2 linked regions of the Elephas maximus indicus genome follow. The protein of the gene in region 1 interacts with the protein of each later gene in a pairwise test. Links are inferred from orthologs where the notes say so. Each region holds a gene or a part of one and is shown on either strand. Other genes may lie near its edges.

Region 1 (9,805 bases):
CAAGATTCAGCAACTACTGGGAGGCAATATTGCTAGAAGGGGATAAGGGGAAGGCCATTCAGAAAATCTGAGAAAAAATAAAACTTTTTCAAATGCAGATTGTCCTTACGTTTCTTGGTATAAAGCTGGGATCTTCTATTCTAAAATCATGTAGAAGGTGTTCTAGTTAGCCAACCTGTTCATAACCTATACTCGCTGGTGACTCATTGTCACTTCATCAGTAGTAATAAGCAGCTGACCATGTAACATCACAACCGCCAGTTTAGACTACTGTTAATAAACTATCATCTTAACAGATCTAATTTCATAGGACAAAAATTGATACAATTTAGAAACTGTTGATGTCGTCTTTAAATGCAGCTTGAAATGAAGGCACTACTAGAAAGCTTTCATTGAATAAAAAGCACTAAAGGGAGAGGGTTAATTCTTGTCTTTGCTTAGCAAAAATTCATAAGTTTAAAAAAAAAAACAAAACGTTAACTTGAATGTCTTGGAGAACAGTCCCTGATGCTGCTGCTGCTGCCTGCAACCAGGTAGCACGTGGTTCTGCTGTCCCACTGGGCCAGAATTTCCTCCCTCCTCGCCTCAAAGGTTAAAGCACTAAAGAGATTATTATGTCCTCATACTCTCCTTTAAATTATTGGAGCAACAAGCCAAGACAACATAAGATACCTGTGTTCCTAGAGTACAGCAAGACTTTGGCTTCTTTCTAAAAGAGAAGCTTACAATCACTTTGATTTACTAACTAGGCCTATTTATGTTTGTCAAACTAATAAAACAACAAAAAAAGAAAAAGCACTAATTCCATTTTTCATAGTTGGAGTCACCGGAGACTATGTAAGGTTAGTAAGTCAAGAATTTGTATAATTTGAAGTCATAAAGGTAACCAGCAGAACGAGTATGATAATTAACAACCAAAAATTGAGAGGCACTGGGAAGAAAGGAGAAACCCTGGTGGCGTAGTGGTTAAGAGTCAGGCTGCTAACCAAAGGTTGGCAGTTCGAATCTGCCAGGCGCTGCCTGGAAACCCTATGGGGCAGTTCTACTCTGTCCTATAGGGTCACAATGAATCGGAATCGACTCAAGGGCAATGGGTTTGTTTTTTTTGGGGGGGGGGAGTAGGGAAACAGAAAGTAGTGTGCACCCTATTTCTCATCTTTCAGGGGAAGGAATCAATAGATGCTTTCTAAAGTTGATATACCACGAAACAGAATTTAACTTTTAAAAGTAATAAAGGCAGTCTAAGATGCATCAATTGGTCTCAACCCACCTGGAGCAAAGGAAAATGAAGAACACCAAGGCCACACGACAACTAAGAGCCCAAGAGACAGAAAGGGCCACATGAACCAGAGACCTACATCATCCTGAGACTAGAAGAACTAGTTGGTGCCCGGCCACAATCGATGACTGCCCTGACAGGGAGCACATCAGAGGACCCCTGAGGGAGCAGGAGATCAGTGGGATACAGACCCCAAATTCTCATAAAAAGACCATACTTAATGGTCTGACTGAGACTAGAGGAATCCCGGCGGCCATGGTCCCCAGACCTTCTGTTGGCACAGGACAGGAACCATCCCCGAAGACAACTCATCAGACATGAAAGGGAGTGGTCAGCGGGTGGGAGAGAGATGCTGATGAAGAGTGAGCTAATTATATCAGGTGGACACTTGAGAGTGTGTTGGCAACTCTTGTCTGGAGGGGGGATGGGAGGATAGAGAGAGAGGGAAGCCGGCAAAATTGTCAAGAAAGGAGAGACTGAAAGGGCTGACTCAAGAGGGGGAGAGCAAGTGGGAGTAGGGAGTGAGATGTATGTAAACTTATATGTGACAGACTGATTGGATTTGTAAACGTTCACTTGAAGCTTAATAAAAGTTATAAAAAAAAAAGTAATAAAGGCAACCTCCAAAAGAACCAGGAATAAACTGTCAACAGTGGTTAGTTACCTTGGATGCTGGGTTGGGGGGTGGGGAGTACTTTTTATTTTATACTTCTGTACAATTTGCATGTTTTTGTTTTTTTTACCTAGTTTTTCAAAATTGTCAATTATCAACATCTTTTTTATTCATTTTTTTTAAAAAACATGTACTATTATCTCATTCCTTGCACTTAACAATTCATGGACTGTCCACTTCATAAAATGGAACATACTCTACGGTGAATTATCTATCAAATTAAAGATAAGGTAAAGGAAGCAAAACTTTTCCCACAATGCAAAATACATGGCTGACCACCCTCAAGTTAAAACAGCTCTTATGACAACCACAAACTTTTTACACTTCTTGGTATTATTTTAAAATCAATACCCCCTTGATCAATTAAAGTAAAAACAGATATATTGTCCAACATAACACCTTATACAGTCCTGAATACAGTCAAGCTAATAAATAGAGGTCACAGGCTTCATTGCAGCAAACTAGTAAGTTCTGACATCAAATCAACAAAATATTTAGGAGCTTCTTTTTCTTCGAAATTAAAACAAAAGAGGCAATTTGAGATTTTTCTATCTTCACTGATCCTCTCAGGAATGTGAAAGTATGCAATGCAGTTTCAATCTTGTAGTACTTGAGGGTTTTTCTCTTTTTTTTTTTTTTTTTTCTTTCAGTGCTTGAGTTTTTGAAGCAATTTACTTCTGCCTGGACAAGCAGCTGGGTTTTCTGTTAACCCTTAGTCTGAATTCTTTACGCTCACACTAACATTTCAACTTTCTAATGCTTCTAAACATAGTTATCTCAAAGAAATTTCAAAACCACAACTGAGTTCAAAGGAAGGGTGGCACTTCGGGTCACTGATAATGGAACATGATTTAACACAATGGTTTTAGGGATGGGTTCTTCCTGGTAACCACAGGAGTTATAATTTAGGTAATGATATGAGTAAAGATCACAGAATTTAAGACTTGTGCCTAGGCTCGTCCTCTTCTCACCTTGCAATAGCTCGCCCTATAGGATGGTCCTTGAATCAACAATGTCAAGAAGGGGTTCACAAAATTTTACTTAACACATATGCGAACTAATCTTGGCAAGACCTAAGTACCTAATTCACATCCTTGAACACCCATCAACTTTACTCTTAAATAATAACTCCTGTGTCTGATACACTGGCAGCCCGACCACAGTCCAGGCACACTTCACGAAGATAAACCTGGCTTAGAGACCAAGGTGCTTTAGGCCTGCCGATAATCATTGAAAGAGCCAGCTGAACTGATGCAGTCCTGTCTTCTAAGGCCGTAGCAAACTGATTTAACTGAGGCATTACTCAGAATCCTCAACTCTCAACCAAAACACATCCAGATTTGACGTAAGGCCTTACGTACGAATCTCTCAGTGGGTGAGTCTCCAACACCCACCAAGTCCACTTTATCTCAGAGAAGGCTCCCCCTCAGATCCTACTCTGCCCCCCACCCCAGGACCCCGGCACCACATCTGGGGGTGCCTCCAATCCCGCACCCCCATCTCCCGCTCCCGACCACTCTGTCACCCACCCAGAGTCCCAGAAGCCGTCCGTTCAGCCCAAACCGCCCAGCACACCTTCAGCCCCTCACCCTCCCCACCTCCAAGCCAAATCGAGCTGGCCTGTCCCCTCCCCTCCTGCCCTCACCGCACGTCACTCACCCGCGGTAGTAGGCTTTCACCCGGACCTGGTGAGAATGGTCCCCGCTGCCGCCGCCGCCTGCGACCCGGTGGGACATGGTGCTGCTGTCCCTCTGGGTCGGCATCTCCTCCCTCTCCAGCCTCAACGCCCGGGGCCGAGGGGGCGGGAGGAGGCGCCGACGCCGTACGGGTCTCAGCCGCCCGAGCCTCTCGAGAGTCGCGGCCCCTCGCCTGCCTACCTGCTCTCCCCGCCCGCAGCGCCGACCCGAGGGTTGCCTCGCCTAGCGTCGGCAGCCAGAAGCGCGCGGCTCCTCCCACCCCGGCAGCCGCCGCCGCAGCCCCTACGGCAGGCGCGGCCCAGGGAGCCTCCCCGCCTCCGCCCCTCCCACCTCGCTCGTTCCGAAGGCCCGCATTCCGGGATAGGGCGGGCGCAACCGTCGATCCAACTCCGGAGCCCCAGTGCCGGGCTGAACCATTCTTACGGAGGCCAGAGAAAGGGGGGAGAGGAAAAAGTGAGGGCTTGTCATCACGCCAAATTCGCCGGGAGGGGGCCTATCTTCGGAGCTGTAATTAAGAAGACAAGAAAAATAGGGTAACTATAGCTCTGTAAAAAGCCTTTTCCCTGCAAGAAAAATGGTAAAGAACAAAAGCTGCAGTGTATCCTCCCAGCTTCCAACTTGGTCGCGTCGGCAGTCGGCCGCTGGGGATTCGGGGTAGATTTGGGTGCAGGATTCTGGGATTTGGAGTTCCCGTGGGATTCTGGGACTTGAGGTTCTTTCTGTGCGGAACGCGGGTCTTTCCCTGGCCCTGTCTGTCTCCAGGGTGCGACGTGGGAGCCGTCGGCGTGGAAATTCTGAATTCAGCATGGGCATCTGAGGGCCCTGGAAACGATTGCGCTTCGTCACGAATAAGACTTTGTTCTCTGACGAATTCTCCCTTCCAATTGCATACCCAACCCAGTGCCGTCGAGTCCGTTCCGACTCATAGCGAGATGATCTAAATTTTGCAGTATCTTCCTTGGGAACAAGAATATGGGCGCTTACTCAGTATAGCCTCTCTTGTGGAAAGAATTTAATATTTGTAACAAATAGGATCATGAATGTAATAAAGGAGGAAAAGCAATTAAAAGATACAATGGAAGGCAGACGTTTCTTCCTTCGCGGCCCCTATGGCTAGTCCCTCGTTGTGCTGCCATTGCACGGGACAGGTGCACAATGAATACTTATCCAATCAATCAACCCGTTAATGACTCTGATTAGCATTTGTTCTGTTAGCACCGGTTAACCAAGGATTAGGAAGGATTCATTCTTGCAGCCTAATCTTTGACTTTCCTCTGGTCTTGCTCTGTCACATAACTCCTACTAAAATCACAGGTAGCATGGATCTAGCTCCTTCACCAGTCACGATACCAATCCAGGTTAGAAGAGTTGGAATAATCAAATAAACTGGATTTTTACTAAAATAGGTTTGGGAAATTGCCTCATCAGAGTGATGTGTGACACTTATACTAGTGTGACATCCTTCAACTGCTGCAGACTTGGATTATGTGCTCTAATAAAATTTCCCCTTAAAGGACATGATACCAGGTTTGGGGCAGTTGGAGACCTGCATCAACATGTTAAATGCGGATCAATTAGTTATGGAATGTAAGTTATTTCTCAAACGAGATGACAAAATTTCAATTGGACCCACGGAAAATTTAGTATGCTTGTGGCAAGTTTGAAAGATTATCTAATGCTCTAGAAATGGAAATTTATGTAATTTGAGGAGGAAGAATTTATAGAGAAGTGAAAGGTAAGGAATTGGGAACTTTCATTTAGATCCTTATTCCTTGCAGCTTGAAAATTCATCATTGGCCTGTAGCTTGCTTTGAAGGTGACCCTTGTTTACTGAGGCTTATTGCTTACTTTGTTGCTATACCCAAGAAAAAAACCCATTGCCGCTGAGTCGATTCCGACTCATAGTGACCCTATAGGACATAGTAGAACAGCCCCGTAGAGTTTCCAAGGAACGCCTGGTGGATTTGAACTGTCGTCCTTTTGGTTGGCAGCGGTAGCTCTTAACCACTAGGTCACCAGGGATAAGGACCTGTAAATACTGACGAGTTGCATCAATCCCACTATATAAATTTTTTTTTCTGAAGGATGAAAGCTATGAGTTGTGATTATCAGGGAAAGCATGAAATTAATTTTAACAGGATTACTTTTACAACTCACCATACATACAATTCACCCATTTAAAGTATACAATTTAATAGTTTTTAGTACGTTCACAAAGTTGTGGTATCATCACAGATTCTCATTCCAGAACATTTTCATCGCTCCAAAAAGAACCGCCACACTCATTAGCAGTCACTCTTCATTCTTCCCCACCTTCTTCCTGGTAACCACTAATCTACTTTCTGTCTTTATGGATGTGCCTTTTCTCTACATTTTATATAAATGGAACCATATAGTATACGATCTTTTGTATCTAGCTTCTTTTACAGACCATTATGTTTTCAAAGTTCATCCATGTTGTAGCACATATCAGTTCTTCATTCCCTTTTTTTTTTTAACCCCCATTTTAATTTCTTTATTGTGGTGGAATATGTGTAACAAGATACTTGTCGTTTTAACCATTTAAGTATGTACAACCCAGGAATATTAATTACATTCACCGTGTTGTGCAACCACCACCACTACGCATTTCCATGTCCAAATTAATTTTGATACAGTCCAATTTTTCTAACACCACCTTTAACAGAAACTCAGAACCTTTTAAGCAATAACTCCGTTTCCTCCTTTGCCCAGCCCCTGGTAAACAGACTTCTGCCTTTATGCATTTGCCTATATTTCATAAAAGTGGGGTCATACAGTGTTTGTCCTTTTGGGCCTGAATTATTTCACTCAGCATATTTTCAAGGTTCATCCATGTTGTAACATGTCTCAGAACTGAACTTCATTTCTCTTTATAGGGGAATAATATTCCATCGCATAGAAATACCACATTTTGTTTATTCATTCATCTTTTGAACATTTAGGTCATTTCCACCTTTTGCGTATTGTGAATAATGCTGCAATGAACATTGGTGTACATGTATCTGTTTGAATCCCTTTCAAGTCTTTCAGGTAAATACCTAGGAATGCAATTGCTGGATCATATGGTAAGTCTATGTTTAGCTTTTTGAGGCACCGCCAGACTGTTTTCCAGAGAGGCTTCTCCATTGTACATTAGCACCAACAATGGATGAGATTCCAATTTTCCCACTTCCTTGCCAATGCTTGTCATTTTCTGATAATAGCCATCCTAGCATCTGAAGTGATATTTCTTTGTGGTTTTGATTTCCTAATGACTAATGGTTGTCAGGAGGGATCAGTCCCTGGAGAAGGACATCATGCTTAGCAGAGTACAGGGTCAGCAGAAAAGAGGAAGACCCTCAACGAGGTGGATTGACACAGTGGCTGCAACAATGAGCTCAAGCATAGCAACGATTGTAAGGATGGCTCAGGACAGGGCAGTGTTTCCGTCTGTTGTGCACAGGGTCTCTATGAGTTGGAACTGACTCAACGGCACCTAACAAAAACAATGACTAATGACATTGCACATTTTTTAATGTGCTTATTGGTCATTTGTATACCTTTCCAGGTGAAATGTCTGTTCCAGTCCTTTGCCCATTTTTTAATTGAGTTGTTTGTCTTTTGGTTTTTGAGTGGTAGTAGTTCATTAAATATTCAGGATATTAAACATTTATAGGATACATATTTACCAAATATTTTCTCCCATTATATAACTCTTTCTACTTGGTTGATAAAGTCCTTTGATGCACAATTTTTTTTAATTTTTTGAAGTCCAATTCATTTTTTTGTCTTTTGTGCTTTTGGTATCATATCTAAGAATCCATTGTCAAAAACTAGTCCTGTAGTTTTACCCTTATGTTTTCTTCTAAGAGTTTTACGGTTTTAGTTCTTACATTTAGATCACTGAGCCATTTTGAGTCACTTCATTCCTTTTCATGGTGAAAGAATATTCCATTGTGTGGCTATGCCAGATTTTGTTTATCCATTCATCAATTGATGGACATTTTTGTTTTTTTCTATTTTTTAGCTATTTTGAATAATGCTGTATGAACATTTGTGTACAAATTTATGTATGTCATATATTTTTATGTTTTGGGTATATACCTAAGAGTGGAATTTTTGTTTCATATGTAACTCATAATGGTTAAATGTTTGGCTGCTAAATGAAATGTCACAGATTTGAACCCACCAGCCGTTCCATGGGAGAAGAGACCTGGTGATCTACTCCCATAAAGATTACAGCCTAGGAAGCTCTTGAGCCAGATCCACTATGTCATATATGATCTCTATGACTTGGAATCGACTGCCCACAACAACAATATGGTAACTCTACGTTTAACTTTTTGAGGGTGAATGAATAATTTCTTTTATAAGGGTCAGCATATAGCTGGTTCCTGGTTCCTATGAGGCAGAGGTTAAAGATGTCCCAAATGTTCAACTTTTCCAAACTGCTATACCACTCCATCATTTCTAAGATCAACTACTCCTCCTCCCCTCAGTGCTCTCCCTCCCATCTTTGGGCTCCAAAATTCACTGCAACGTCTCACAGAACTCACAAACTGTATCAACGAAATGACTCATGCAGTTGTGGAGGCTGGTGAGCTCCAAATCCACGGGCCAGTTGTAGTCTTCTCTTGACCCACGTGGCTACAGGGGCTGATGAATCCAAACTGGCAGTTCATACCACAGGCTGCTGGTTCACGAGGCTGCAGAAGCTGGTGAATCAGGTCAGAAGACAGGCCGTCAGCCCACAGGGCTGTGGAGGCCAGTGAATCCCAGAATCGGCAGGTCAGACAGCAGGCCTCTGGCTCAAGTCCCAAGAACTAGAGGTTAGATGATCACAAACCAGACACGGATCCAGATGCAAAGAAACAGAGCCCAGTTAGGGCATCCACATATATACCTTAGATGCAAGCCACACCCCAGGGAAGGGCATAACTTGAGTACGGGTGGGACTTGAGTCATGCCCTCCTGTGAGGCTGGGACCCAAGACACACCCACATCAATCCTGCCTCATCAGCATGTAGAGGTCACAGTCCACAATACATAAGATGGAGGACAATCACACAATACTGGAAATCATAGCCTAGCTAAGTTGACACGTGCCTCCAATGCTCATAGGTTCCATACACATTGTTTGCATAGTTCCACCCAATCATTGTGTGTGAGTCGCAAAGACCATGGGTAGAAGGGCCATATTATGTAATTCATTGCACCATGGAGAAACTGCCAGACGGTTTTCCAAAGTGACTGCACCATTTTACATTCCCACTAACAGAATATGAGAACTCCAATTTCTCCACACCCTCCCCAACAGTTCTTCTTGTTCATCTTTTTTTAGTATAGCCATCCTAGTGGTTGTGAAATGGTAGCTCATTGTGGTTTTATTTGCATTACTCTGATGACTAATGAAAGGAGCTCTGGTGGCACAATGGTGAAGTTGGTGACTTGAACCCACTCAGCCACTCCATAGGAGAAAGATCTGGCAGCCTGCTTCCATTAAGATTACAACCAAGAAAACCATATGGGGCAGTTCTATTCACACATAGTTGCTGTGAGTTGGAATTGATACAACAGCACCCAACAACAACAATGACTAATGATGTTGAACATTTTTTCATGTGCTCATTGGCCATTTGTGTATCTTCTTTGGAGAAATATCTATTCAGAACCTTTGCTCATTTTTTAATTCGTTATTTTTTCTTTATTATTGAATTGTAAGGGTTCTTTATATATTCTAGTTACAAGTCCTTTATGAGATAATTTCCAAATAGCTTTGCCTATTCTGTACATTATCTTTTCATTTTGTTAATGGCTTCATTGGTAGCATAAAGGTATTTAATTTTCATAAAGTAAATTTATCTCTTTTGTTATTGTCTTTGTTGTTTCTCCTTTTGGTGTCATGTCTAAGAATGCTTTGCTTAACTCAAAGTCAGGAGCATTTACTCCTAAGCTTTCTTCTAAGAATTTTCTAGTTATGCTATGATCCATTTTAACTTGTGTGTGTGATGTAAGGAAATGATCCCAGTGCATTTCTTTGCATGTGGATATCCAGTTGTCACAGTAGCATTGTTAAAAAGACTGTTCTTTTTCCGTTTCATTGTCTTGCACCCTTGTTGGAAAACAGTTGGCCACAAATGTAAAGGTTTATTTCTG
Region 2 (10,456 bases), on another chromosome or scaffold:
AAAGTACCTGTGAGCTGCACATACCTGGTCCTGCTCCTTGACTTGACCCAAGCAGTTGCCTCTGAGATGGTCAGGCAAAGAGAAGAAACACTTTTTTCTGCCCAAGAACTTACTATTCTTTGAGAGTTAAATATCTTACCTAACAGAAGCAGAGCCAAGCTGGAAGCAGAGGGCCATGGATACCCAAGTGCCAGAAACCTATAGGGCCAACTCCTGGTCCCAAGGCTCCAAGTGAAACATCATAAGCATCTATATTATTTTTACTGTGTGTTAGGCAATGTGACGAGTGCAATGTGACAAGTGCTCTTTGTAACCACATTTCTCTCCTAGAGTCCTCACAAAAAGCCTATTTTAGGGAGGAAGACATTGAGGGTGTAAATATTATCTAGATCGCAGCTGGGTAGGAGTAGAGCATTGATATCTTCCTGCGCTGTCCAGATCCACATGTTTTTAGCTGTCATACCACACTGCCTCCTAATTCTATCTGGTTCTGGCTGGGTCCTTTATTCATGCACCCCTGATATAAACCCTACATCACAGCCTCTCTGTTTGCTCCTAGTTGTGCACATGGATGGTGCCCACCAGGGTGCTAGAAGCCCCGCCCCATGTGTCTGGTGACGCTGGGGTTCTTTCTACTTTCTTTGCTCTAAGTTTCTTTGTTCCTTCCTCAAACAACCATCCTTTGCTCCCCACCGAAGGAGGAGCTGGTGGAGGGAAGGTGAAGCTCAAATATTATAATAGCAGCAAACACAGAGGTGCTTCCTGGTGTCAGGGGCTATTCTAAGCGCTCATACACTTGCACTCATTTAACCCTCATAACAGTCTTGTGAGGCTATTATTATTCTTATTACCTCCATTTTACAGATGAGGAAACCAAGGCAGAGAGGACGAGTAATGTGTCCAAACTCACACTCGAGTGATCAGAACCAGAGGGTCTGGTGCTCCTGACCAGCAAACTCCGACCATACCTGGCCCATTCCACCAAGACGTTTTGGTTCCAGCAGTCTCTGACATTTGGCTGTGTCCCTGGCCCAGGTTCTGTCGTTGTTGTTGTTAGGTGCTGTCAAGTCGATTCTGACTCATAGCGACCCTATGTACAAAAGAATGAAACACTGTCTGGTCCTGAGCCACCCTCACAATCGTTGCTATGTTTGAGTCCATTGTTGCAGCCACTGGGTCAATCCATCTCATTGAGGGTCTTCCTCTTTTTTGCTGACTCTATCCTTTACCAAGGATGATGTAGCAGAAAGTCTCACCATCCTCATTTCTAAGGAGGATTCTGGCTGTACTTCTTCCAAGATAGATTTGTTTATTCTTTTGGCAGTCCATGGTATATTCAGTATTCTTTGCCAACACCACAATTCAAAGGCATTGATTCTTCTTCTGTCTTCCTTACTCATTATCCAACTTTCCCATGCATATAAGGCAACTGAAAATACCATGGCTTCGGTCAGGTGCACTTTAGTCCTCAAGGTGACATCTTTGCTTTTTAAGACTTTAAAGAGGTCTTTTGCAGGAGATTTGCCCAATGCAATACATTCTAGGATCAGGTTCTAGGATTCCCATAATAAATCCCCTTACAACCCAAATGGCTCTAACTAACCTACTTGGGCAAGTGCAAAGTTAGAAAACAGTCCATGAGACAATCCTCACCTCTGACACCACCTGTACATTGAAGGTCCCCAAGCCCACAGCCATCTGTGGTCTCTGTCTCCCTTGCTGGGAGAAAGGACAGTACTTGTTGACATTTTGCGCCTCGGAGGGAGCAAAATGAACATGTTAACTTTATCTGAAAAATTATTTCTAAAGCCTCTTCTAATGTAACCGGCTATGAGCCTATGACAAACTGAAGATAAAATGGGAGCATGTCGGGGAGAGGAAGCAGTAGCGGCCAAGCTGGAGAATGGGGAGAGGGTACAACTTGAAAAAGGAGATGACAGCAAGTAGGCTGGAAAAAGGAAGAACATGTAGACCTCCCCTAAGCCCCCTCCTTCACTTCAAGCACAGACTTTGACCTAGCTCTGTTGATGACCAAGCTCAAAGAGATATCAGTACTCTGCTTTTAAAACATAAAAAGTCTTGTGCACCCTGGGCAAAGCCCAAGTGCCAACTAATATCTATAGAAGGGAAGAAAAAGGATAGATTATTTCTTCTATTTATCCTTTTACTCTGAATGTGCATCTGTTCATTTTTGTGTGTTGCTAGGTGTTAGCATTTGAAAATGTTGGCTAAGCTTGCTCTCTGATTTGAAAGTCAAGAAAGTGTCATTTATTTTTGACCCAAACTAGATTGTTTATTTGACGTTTAAACAGAAGACCATTCCTGTGATGGTTAAGATTCTGTGTCAACTTGGCTGGGCCATGATTCTCAGTGTTTTTATGTGATCACTTCCATGATGGGATGTGCTGTGAGTAGCCAATCAGTTGAAAGGGAGTTTCCTTGGGTGTGTGGTCTGCATTCAAATATAAGCAGATGTTCTGGCTCTTTTGCTTGCTCTGGATCCTACAGCTGGCTCCTGTTCATCAGACCTCCTGTTCTTGGGACTTGAGCTAGCAGCTTACCTGCTGAACTTGGGATTTCTCAATCTTCACAGCCTGTGAGCAAGAGCCCTGCTTTCTGACCTGCTGATCTTGGGTTCGCCATCCCCTGCAGCTGCGTGAATCAGGAGAAGCCTCTATCCTGATCCACAGGCTTGGGACATTCCAGCCTCTACAACCACAAGCAGTTTCTTTGATATAAATCTCTCTCTCTCTCCATATATATATTTATACACTTTACTGGTTTTGTTTCTCTAGAGAACCCAGCCTAAGACAATTCCCAACTGTACTTCTTCCCCATTGCTCAATATTAAAACTTGTTCATGTTTACAAATGAACATGTCTAGTACACAGTAAGAAGTAGTGGTCAAAAACAGGGGGTTCAGGATATAGAAAAGGCTATGTTTAAATCCTGGTTCTGTAGCTTGTTAGCTGTGTGACCTTAAGTGAATTATTTACTATCTCGAAGCTTCAAATTTTCCTTTGGTAAAATGGGGATGATAATTGTAGTATAATTGTAGTATTGTTGCAAAATATGTAGAACACTCATATGGATTAAGTTGTGTCACCCAAAAAGATGATATTAAAGTCCTAACCCCTGATACTTGCGAATGTGATTTTGTTTAGGAATAGGGTCTTTGAAGATGTTACCAGTTAAGTTAGCATGAGGTCATACTGAAATAGGGTGGACTCTAATGCAACCCGAATGGTGTCCTAGGAAAGAGAAGAGACACAGAGGCAGGATGGCCATGTGAACACACAGGCAGAGATGGAGTTATGCAGCAGCTGCAAGCCAAGGAATGCCTGGAGCTACTAGGAAGAAAGGATCTTTCCCTAGAGCCTTGAGAAAGAACATGGCCCTGTCGACACCCTGAATTTACCTTCTATTTTCTCTGCTTTGAGCTGCTGAGATTCAACTGTGTGTGGAAGACACTTGGCATCAGCCCCTTCCCAGCACATGCCCATGTGCAAAGGTGGATTGCTTAAAGGTCATTTTGGACATTTGGAGAATGTATTGACCCTATTGCTTGGCGATGTGGAATCTGTTGCTGACTGGGCTCTTTCTCCAAAGGTTTTCTCCCATTCCTAAACCCTTGAGCTTGCTGGTCCACCCCTCCCCAACCTAGAATGCTGCTCATCCCTCCTCTCAATCCCTTGTCCCTCTCTCTTTAAAATATCTGACTCCTGACCATCTCCTCCTACTCATGACAAAACAATGTTGTTCACACTAACTGGTAGCTGGCAGCCAGCAATAAATCTATGATTTTCTTTAAGACCAAAGACCCACATTCAGTTTAGGAAATTTCCCTTTGAAAGACAAGTCAGTTTGTTCTGTTTCAGCTGCTAAGTGTGTATCTCTTGGCACTTGTTGTGTGCTTACTTACTTCTTCATGTGGGCCTTATTTCAGAACTCTGTCTGGTCCCCTGGCCAGTCTCTTATTTTCTTTTAAGGGCAGGGATTGTAACTCTGTGACTTTGTAATCATAGTCCCTGGCATGTAATAGGGTAATTATTAGTGAAATGAAACGAAAATTAAATTTTGGAGACTGCATTTTGGCAATCTGCATTAAAAGCTTTAGAACTGTGTGTACTCTATGGCCTAGAAATTCCATTTTTTGCAATCAAGTCTAAAGATACAATCACAAATAAGTGTATTCAAGAAAAAAAGTACTATATAAGAGAAAAACATTGGAAACATCTTAAATATCCCATAATAAGTCATAATTAAAAATTATGCTTATATTTATCTGTGTAACTTTTAAAAAATAATGTTTTCTAAGAATTTTTAATGAAATTTTCCTTAACATTAGGTGAAAAAAGCAAGTTGTAAAACTGGATAAACACAATGATCACAATTTTGTAAATTATATAAATATGCATGTAGGAAAATCAACTGAAATAAAATGTATCAAAAGGTTAGGTGTGTTACAGAGAACCCGTGAGGGAGCAGGAGAGCAGTGGGATGCAGACCTCAAATTTTCGTAAGAAGACCAGACTTAATGGTCTGACTGAGATTAGAAGCACCCCGGCGGTCATGGTCCCCAGACCTTCTGTTAACCCAAGACAGGAACCACTCCCAAAGCCAACTCTTCAGAAAGGGATTAGACTGGACAATGGGATAGCAAATGATACTGGTGAAGAATGAGCTTCTTGGACCAAGTAGACACATGAGACTATGTTGGTATCTCCTGTCTGGAGCAGAGATGAGAGGGCGGGGGGGGGGGGTGGTCAGAAGCTGGCCAAATGGACAGGAAAATAGAGAGTGGAGGGAAGGAGTGTGCTGTCTCATTAGGGAGAGAGCAGTTAGGAGTATTTAGCAAGGCGTATATAAATTTTTGTATGAGAGACTGACTTAATTTGTAAACTTTCACTTAAAGCACAATAAAAATAAGGTTAGGTGCATTGATTGTTGAATGGTGTGATTCTGAGTGATTTTAACAGTTTTCTTTCATTTCTTTATATTCTCCAGATTTCTTTTACAATGAACTTATACTAAATGTATAACTTATAATAGTATATATAACTTTAAAATTATAATTTATTTTATACATTATAATTAATAATAAAAAAAACTGTTACGTCTTCTTAGTTCATCATAAAGTCCTGAAGGACAGGGACTGTATCTTTGGTTTTGTAGACAGCCCCTTTTCCAGGGGCTTCTGATTAATAAGCACCCCAGCGAAGTTGCTAACAACCGGTGCCATCTTTCTCCTAAAATGTTCTTTTCTTCTAAGGGCTGCCTTTGGAAAAAAAAAAAAAAAAAAAAAACTTCTCATCAGGCCTAGAGTGCTCTGACTCTTCCTTATCTCGTTTAATTTGACCTGTGCTTGGCTGTTCCTTAGGAGTTTGCCTCCCTGCAGACCCCCCTCGAAGACTACCTACAATTGGGCAACTGGTATATACAGGTGAATACCAGTGTAATCAAGCCTCCTGTGGTTTTCATTAGCATTACTCTCTTAAATAATTACCGGAGACAATGCCAGAAACCAGTCCCCTTCCCAGGCTGTCTGTGGAGGCCAAACAGAACCTTGGCTGGGCGAGCCGGGGCACGAAGGAAGCGAGGCGGCCCGGGCGGGTCGGTGAGAGCACGGTTGGAGGATGACTAGGTTTCCTTTCCCGCCCGCGGAGAGCCCCTGACGAGGGCCGCCAAGCGGCATCTTCGGGGCGGGGCCGCGGAGGACGGGGCGTGGGGCGTGGCCTCTGGTGGGCGGGACAAGGGCGGGGCCTCGGGCGCGGGGAGGTGGGGCAGTGCGCGCCGGCGTCCCCGTTCCTCCCGCGCGCGTTCTCCGGTGTCCCGGAGGCGCGCGGCCAGCCCCGCTCGGCCCCGCCACACAGGGAGTCCGCGGGGCGCGAGGCAGTCGGACCCGGACAGCGGCCGGGGCGCACGGCAAGGAAGCGGAGTCGTGGGGTACAGGCGTGGCGGGTAGGGTCGCGGCTCCCAGAGCCCTTCTGCAGACCCTGCGGAGCGAGGGCGACGACGAGGCAGCCCGGGGCCGAAACCATGAACCGGAGTTTCCACAAGTCTCAGACCCTGCGCTTCTACGACTGCAGCGCCGTGGAAGTCAAAAGCAAGGTTAGCGCGGAGGGGTCTGCCCGGCCGGGGGCTTTGCACCCCCTTCAAATGAATGGGGAGGACGCGGAGGGGCCTGACAAAGTGGGAGGGAGAGGCGCCGGCAACAACTTTCCGAGCTCGTGCACTGCCCGCCCCTCGGCGCGGGGCCGCGCGGGGCCGCGGGATGCACAGGGGTCTGGCTGTTTGCGGGCCCCGCAGACAAAGCCGGCGCCCAGGATGGTCAGCTCGGAGCCGGCGCGGCCGGAGGGCCGAGGGCCAGCGGGAGCAGCTTGCGCGGGGCCGGAGCGCTCTGCCAAAACTGCTCTTTTGTTCAGCCAGCTGAGGGGCGACCCGGGCGCTCTGCACGTTCGTAGGGAGGGCGGCGTTTCCTGGGCGAACCGGGGCCGTGGGCTGCTCGGGGTCGGGCTTCTTAGAAAGGGCCCTGGCCGCGCCGCCTCCTTCGCGTTGCGGAGGAGACTCCTTACCAGCGATGAGGCCGGCCGCGAGCGTCCTGAGTGGGACCGCCGGACTAGACTCCAGTTCCAGCACCCAGTCCGGACTGAATACCCCCGCCCCACCCTCCAGTTCCCTGGTGTCCTGGACCCTCTGATTCCCAAGTCTCCCGGGCCCTCTGGTCCCCCTGGCGCGCCCCCTGGCTCCCGAGTTCGGCCCCTAACTCACCACCTGGCTCCCAAACCCTGGGTCTGGCTCCAGGCACCCCCTGGACTGGACCCCTCAGGCCCCCAGCCCAGCCCTCCAGTCCCGCGTTTACCCCGGCCGGTCCCCAGGCCCTGCACCTCCAGACGCCCGCGCCCGGCCCGAGCGTGCCCGAACCTGCGGGTGATCGGGTGTGTGTGGGGACGATTGTCTGATAGGATCAGGCGAATGTGCCCTTTGCGGGGGCGGCTCCCCTACCGCGCCTTCGCCGCAGAAGAAGGTCTCAGTCGTGGACCCGCAGGCCAAGGAGCAGCCTCAGCCTTTAGGGTCCGGAGGAGGGGGTGCTCGGCCTTGGAATGATTGCTGCCCAAGAGGAGCTCTCTTGCACCCTTTTCTGCACCACCTTCCTTCTCTGTAAAGGGGTGGGCCGCGGAAGGTGGGCTCGAGACCTCGCTCCGCGCCCACCTGGGGCCCAGCCTCTGGGGAGATGTCTGTGGAACCCGGGAGGCGAGTCCAGCGGTACCCCTCCCCTGGCTGCCCAGACCCACCGAGGGGTCTCTAGGGGCAGAACAGGCGGGGCTGTTTTTCGACCCCTTACTTTCTCATTAGGAGACCCTGCCCTTCCCCCACGCTAACTCTAACTCTGGCCACATTCCCTCTTCTGCCCAGGAGTGCCCACCGAAATCAAATGTCCTCTTTGGGTTATGTAAGGGGGAGGAAACTGCGAGCATGAGTGGGAGGCAAAAATAACCGTCCAGTTTCCTTAATTTGGTCAAATGTAACTTTCTAGAGATGCACCGTCCAGCACAATAGCCACGCGTGGTATCTACTTTTTTAAAAGTTTTTATTTTGATATAATTGTAGATTGACAAGAAGTTTTAAGAAATAATAAGGATCCCCTTTTTAATGGTAACACCGCGCACAGCTACCGCGCAGCATCGGACCCAAGAAGTTGGTGTGGATGCACTCCCCTGACCTCATTCTTCTCACCAGCTGGATGCACACATATGTGTGAGAGTGAATGTGTATGGTGTGTGTGACTGCGTGATAGTGTATATGTGTGAATGTGTGTGTGAGTATAAGCATGTGAGTGTGTATATGAGTATGTGTGACAGTGTGAGTGTGTGGTGTGTGTGAGTGTGTGCTTGTGTGTGTGCAAAGTGTGAATGCATGGAAATTGTGTGATTAAGTGCCTGTGGTATATGTGAGTATGTATATATGTAAGAATGTGTGTGAGAGCATGTGAGCGTATGTTCCACAGTGTGTGAGCGTGTGGTATGTGAGAGTGTGTATATGTGTAAGCATGGGTGAGTGTGTCGTGTGAGGGTATGTGTGTGAGAGCATGTGTGTGTATGAGTGGAACAGTGTGAGGGAGCATTGTGATTGTGTGTATAAGTGTATGTATGTGAGAGAATATGTATGTGGGAGTGTGTGTCCGTGTGTGTGGTGTGAGAGTGTGTGTGACTGTGGGGCTCTGAGTGTGTGTGTATTTAGTCCTATGCAGTTTTTTTTTATCATATGTGTAGTCTTGTGTGACTACCAGTGCGGTCTTTTTACAGTGGCTTCTTAATTTCATTAAAATTAAAAACTCAGTCCCTGTGTAGCACTGGCCACAGACAGCATGGCTGAAGAGGACCAGAGGCACAAATCAGGCCTGGATCCCCTGGGGGAAGTCCGCCTGGGAGAGGGTTAGGGCTGCTGCCTTTGCTCCAGGCAGCGAGGAGCCTGCCTCAGGCCACTGTGTCTCAGGGAGCAGCTGCCTGACTCCCTCTGCTCTGCCCAGGTGAGGGCACTCTGCAAGGCCCACATGGCCTGGGCCTGTGGCCAGCTGGCTCGCTGGACACTGCCCCCCGCCCCCCCAGCAGGCTTTCAGATGATGGCCGGAACTTATTGTTTGTTCAGAGAGGCCCAGGCTCTTCCCTCTGGACACCCTCCCACAGACCGACTTTGTAGTTGGTAGTCGTTAGCACAAGAGATGTTTGAACCTATTTTGAAGAATAATAAGAAAAATTGTTTGCACCAGGCTTGGGCATTGGCGCAGCTCGGCAGGAGCCTGTTTCTACTCCATGCATTTGTGTCAAAATAGAGCAAAACTTGATGGAAAACCTGTCTTTACTCAGCCTCCTGCAGCACCATACAACTTGGGCTTTTACATGGGGAGAATGGTGGTGAGGAGCTGGGCCCAGGCAAGGCCCGCCCTGCTCTCTTCTCGAACTTCCAGGCTCTTCCGAGTCTCAGTTGTTTAGTCTGTAAAACAGCGCTATACCTGTTCTGCGTGCCTCCCAGAGCCAAACAAGCTGATGAATGTGAAGACATTCCCCACGTTGTAAGAGAGTTAAGAGCTGTGGGTCAGGATCCTGTGGTGTTTCGGGGTGTTGGGTCTGCAGACCTCCTCCAACCCTCTCAGAATTCTTGACATTGGCCATACCCTACAACTGGTCAGCTCCCAATGGCCTGGGGACAGGGTCCAGGTGTGCAGCAGGGGTGGGGCATGAACTTGACTTGGTGACTCCCTCCCCTTCCCCAGAGACCTCAGCTTTTGCACCAGTAGTTCTCTGTGCCCCAGGCCAGCTGTTTGTACTTTTGGTTGTGGTAATTAGGCCGAATTTTGCCACTTACCTTTGGCTTGTGCCTCTCCTCACAGAAGACCTGAAGGTGGGGAGGGAGGCAGATACAAAGACATCTGGGTGGGGCGGGGGGGAGGGAGACACATTTCAGACCAGGGAGATAGAGAGCGACACGATGCCCTTAGGAATTGAGTAGTGCCTTTAACTGCATCTGTATTTGTCAGCCCCACTGGCATCTGCGCATCCTGCAAGACTGAAGGGAAGCATTCATCTCATCTGCGTGCGATGCTCTGTGCGAGGGTTGCTGTGTCTCCACCCCACCCACTCACCCTGGCTGGAGGCCCCTGTATTACCTGTCTGAGTTATATATTCCCAGGCTCCTTCCAACTCAGACATTGATTACCAGCTACTCATGTTCTCCATCCCTGAGCTAATGGCTGAAGCCCATGTTTTTTCTGACCTGCGTGCCTCTGGTTTTGTTGCTTCCCCGTCTGCTTTGTCTAAAAATCTACCCTACTTTGATGACCTCTTAAAGTGCTTTCTCTTCTACAGAGATTCCTGATTCCACCACCAGTGCCCCCCCTACTTCATCTGACCCTTTCTCATATTTCTGTATCTCTTGTGGCACGGGATAGAACTCTGGCTTAGACGTTATTTTTCCTAAGCAACTATTATATAACTATACACTGTAAGCCCTTTTTAAGGAAGGGATGGTGTTTACACCTCATAAGTCTACAGTAGCCACTGTATTTGGGAGAGAACAACTCCATTGAAGTTTTTAATCCAGTTTTTGCTTCTTTGTTTAAATAACATTGGGGGCTTTTTTGGATTATATAAAGCGCATTGTTGCTGTAGAAAATTTAGAACCTATAGCCAAGCACAGAGAGGAGTAAAAGCCATTGGTTAATGGTCCCATCCAAGGTGAACCACTGTTAGCATGTTGCTCAATGTCCTTCTGGTATTTTTTGTACCCATGTGTACATACATACATTTTCGTCTTCTAGCATTAACATTTCTAGCATTTCGTCTTCTACTCTGTCCTATAGGGTCGCTATGAGTCGGAATGGACTTGACGGGAGTGGGGTTTCTTTTTAGCATTAGGATAATATTTTATAGGCACAGTATTTTGTAGACTGCCTCCC

The links.
Region 2: the proteins of PRKCI (region 1) and PARD6G interact in binary tests that used the Homo sapiens proteins (3 or more experiments, as listed by UniProt). The link is inferred for Elephas maximus indicus from reciprocal best matches to the Homo sapiens genes PRKCI and PARD6G.

Annotation. Positions count from the first base shown.
Region 1 is NC_064841.1:30,473,981-30,483,785, forward strand, and holds the start of PRKCI (protein kinase C iota type), read right to left. Parts: upstream 3,972-9,805; 5' UTR 3,716-3,971; coding exon 3,612-3,715; intron 1-3,611.
Region 2 is NC_064829.1:87,056,526-87,066,981, reverse strand, and holds the start of PARD6G (partitioning defective 6 homolog gamma), read left to right. Parts: upstream 1-5,944; 5' UTR 5,945-6,039; coding exon 6,040-6,111; intron 6,112-10,456. UniProt on the Homo sapiens protein: Adapter protein involved in asymmetrical cell division and cell polarization processes. May play a role in the formation of epithelial tight junctions. The PARD6-PARD3 complex links GTP-bound Rho small GTPases to atypical protein kinase C proteins.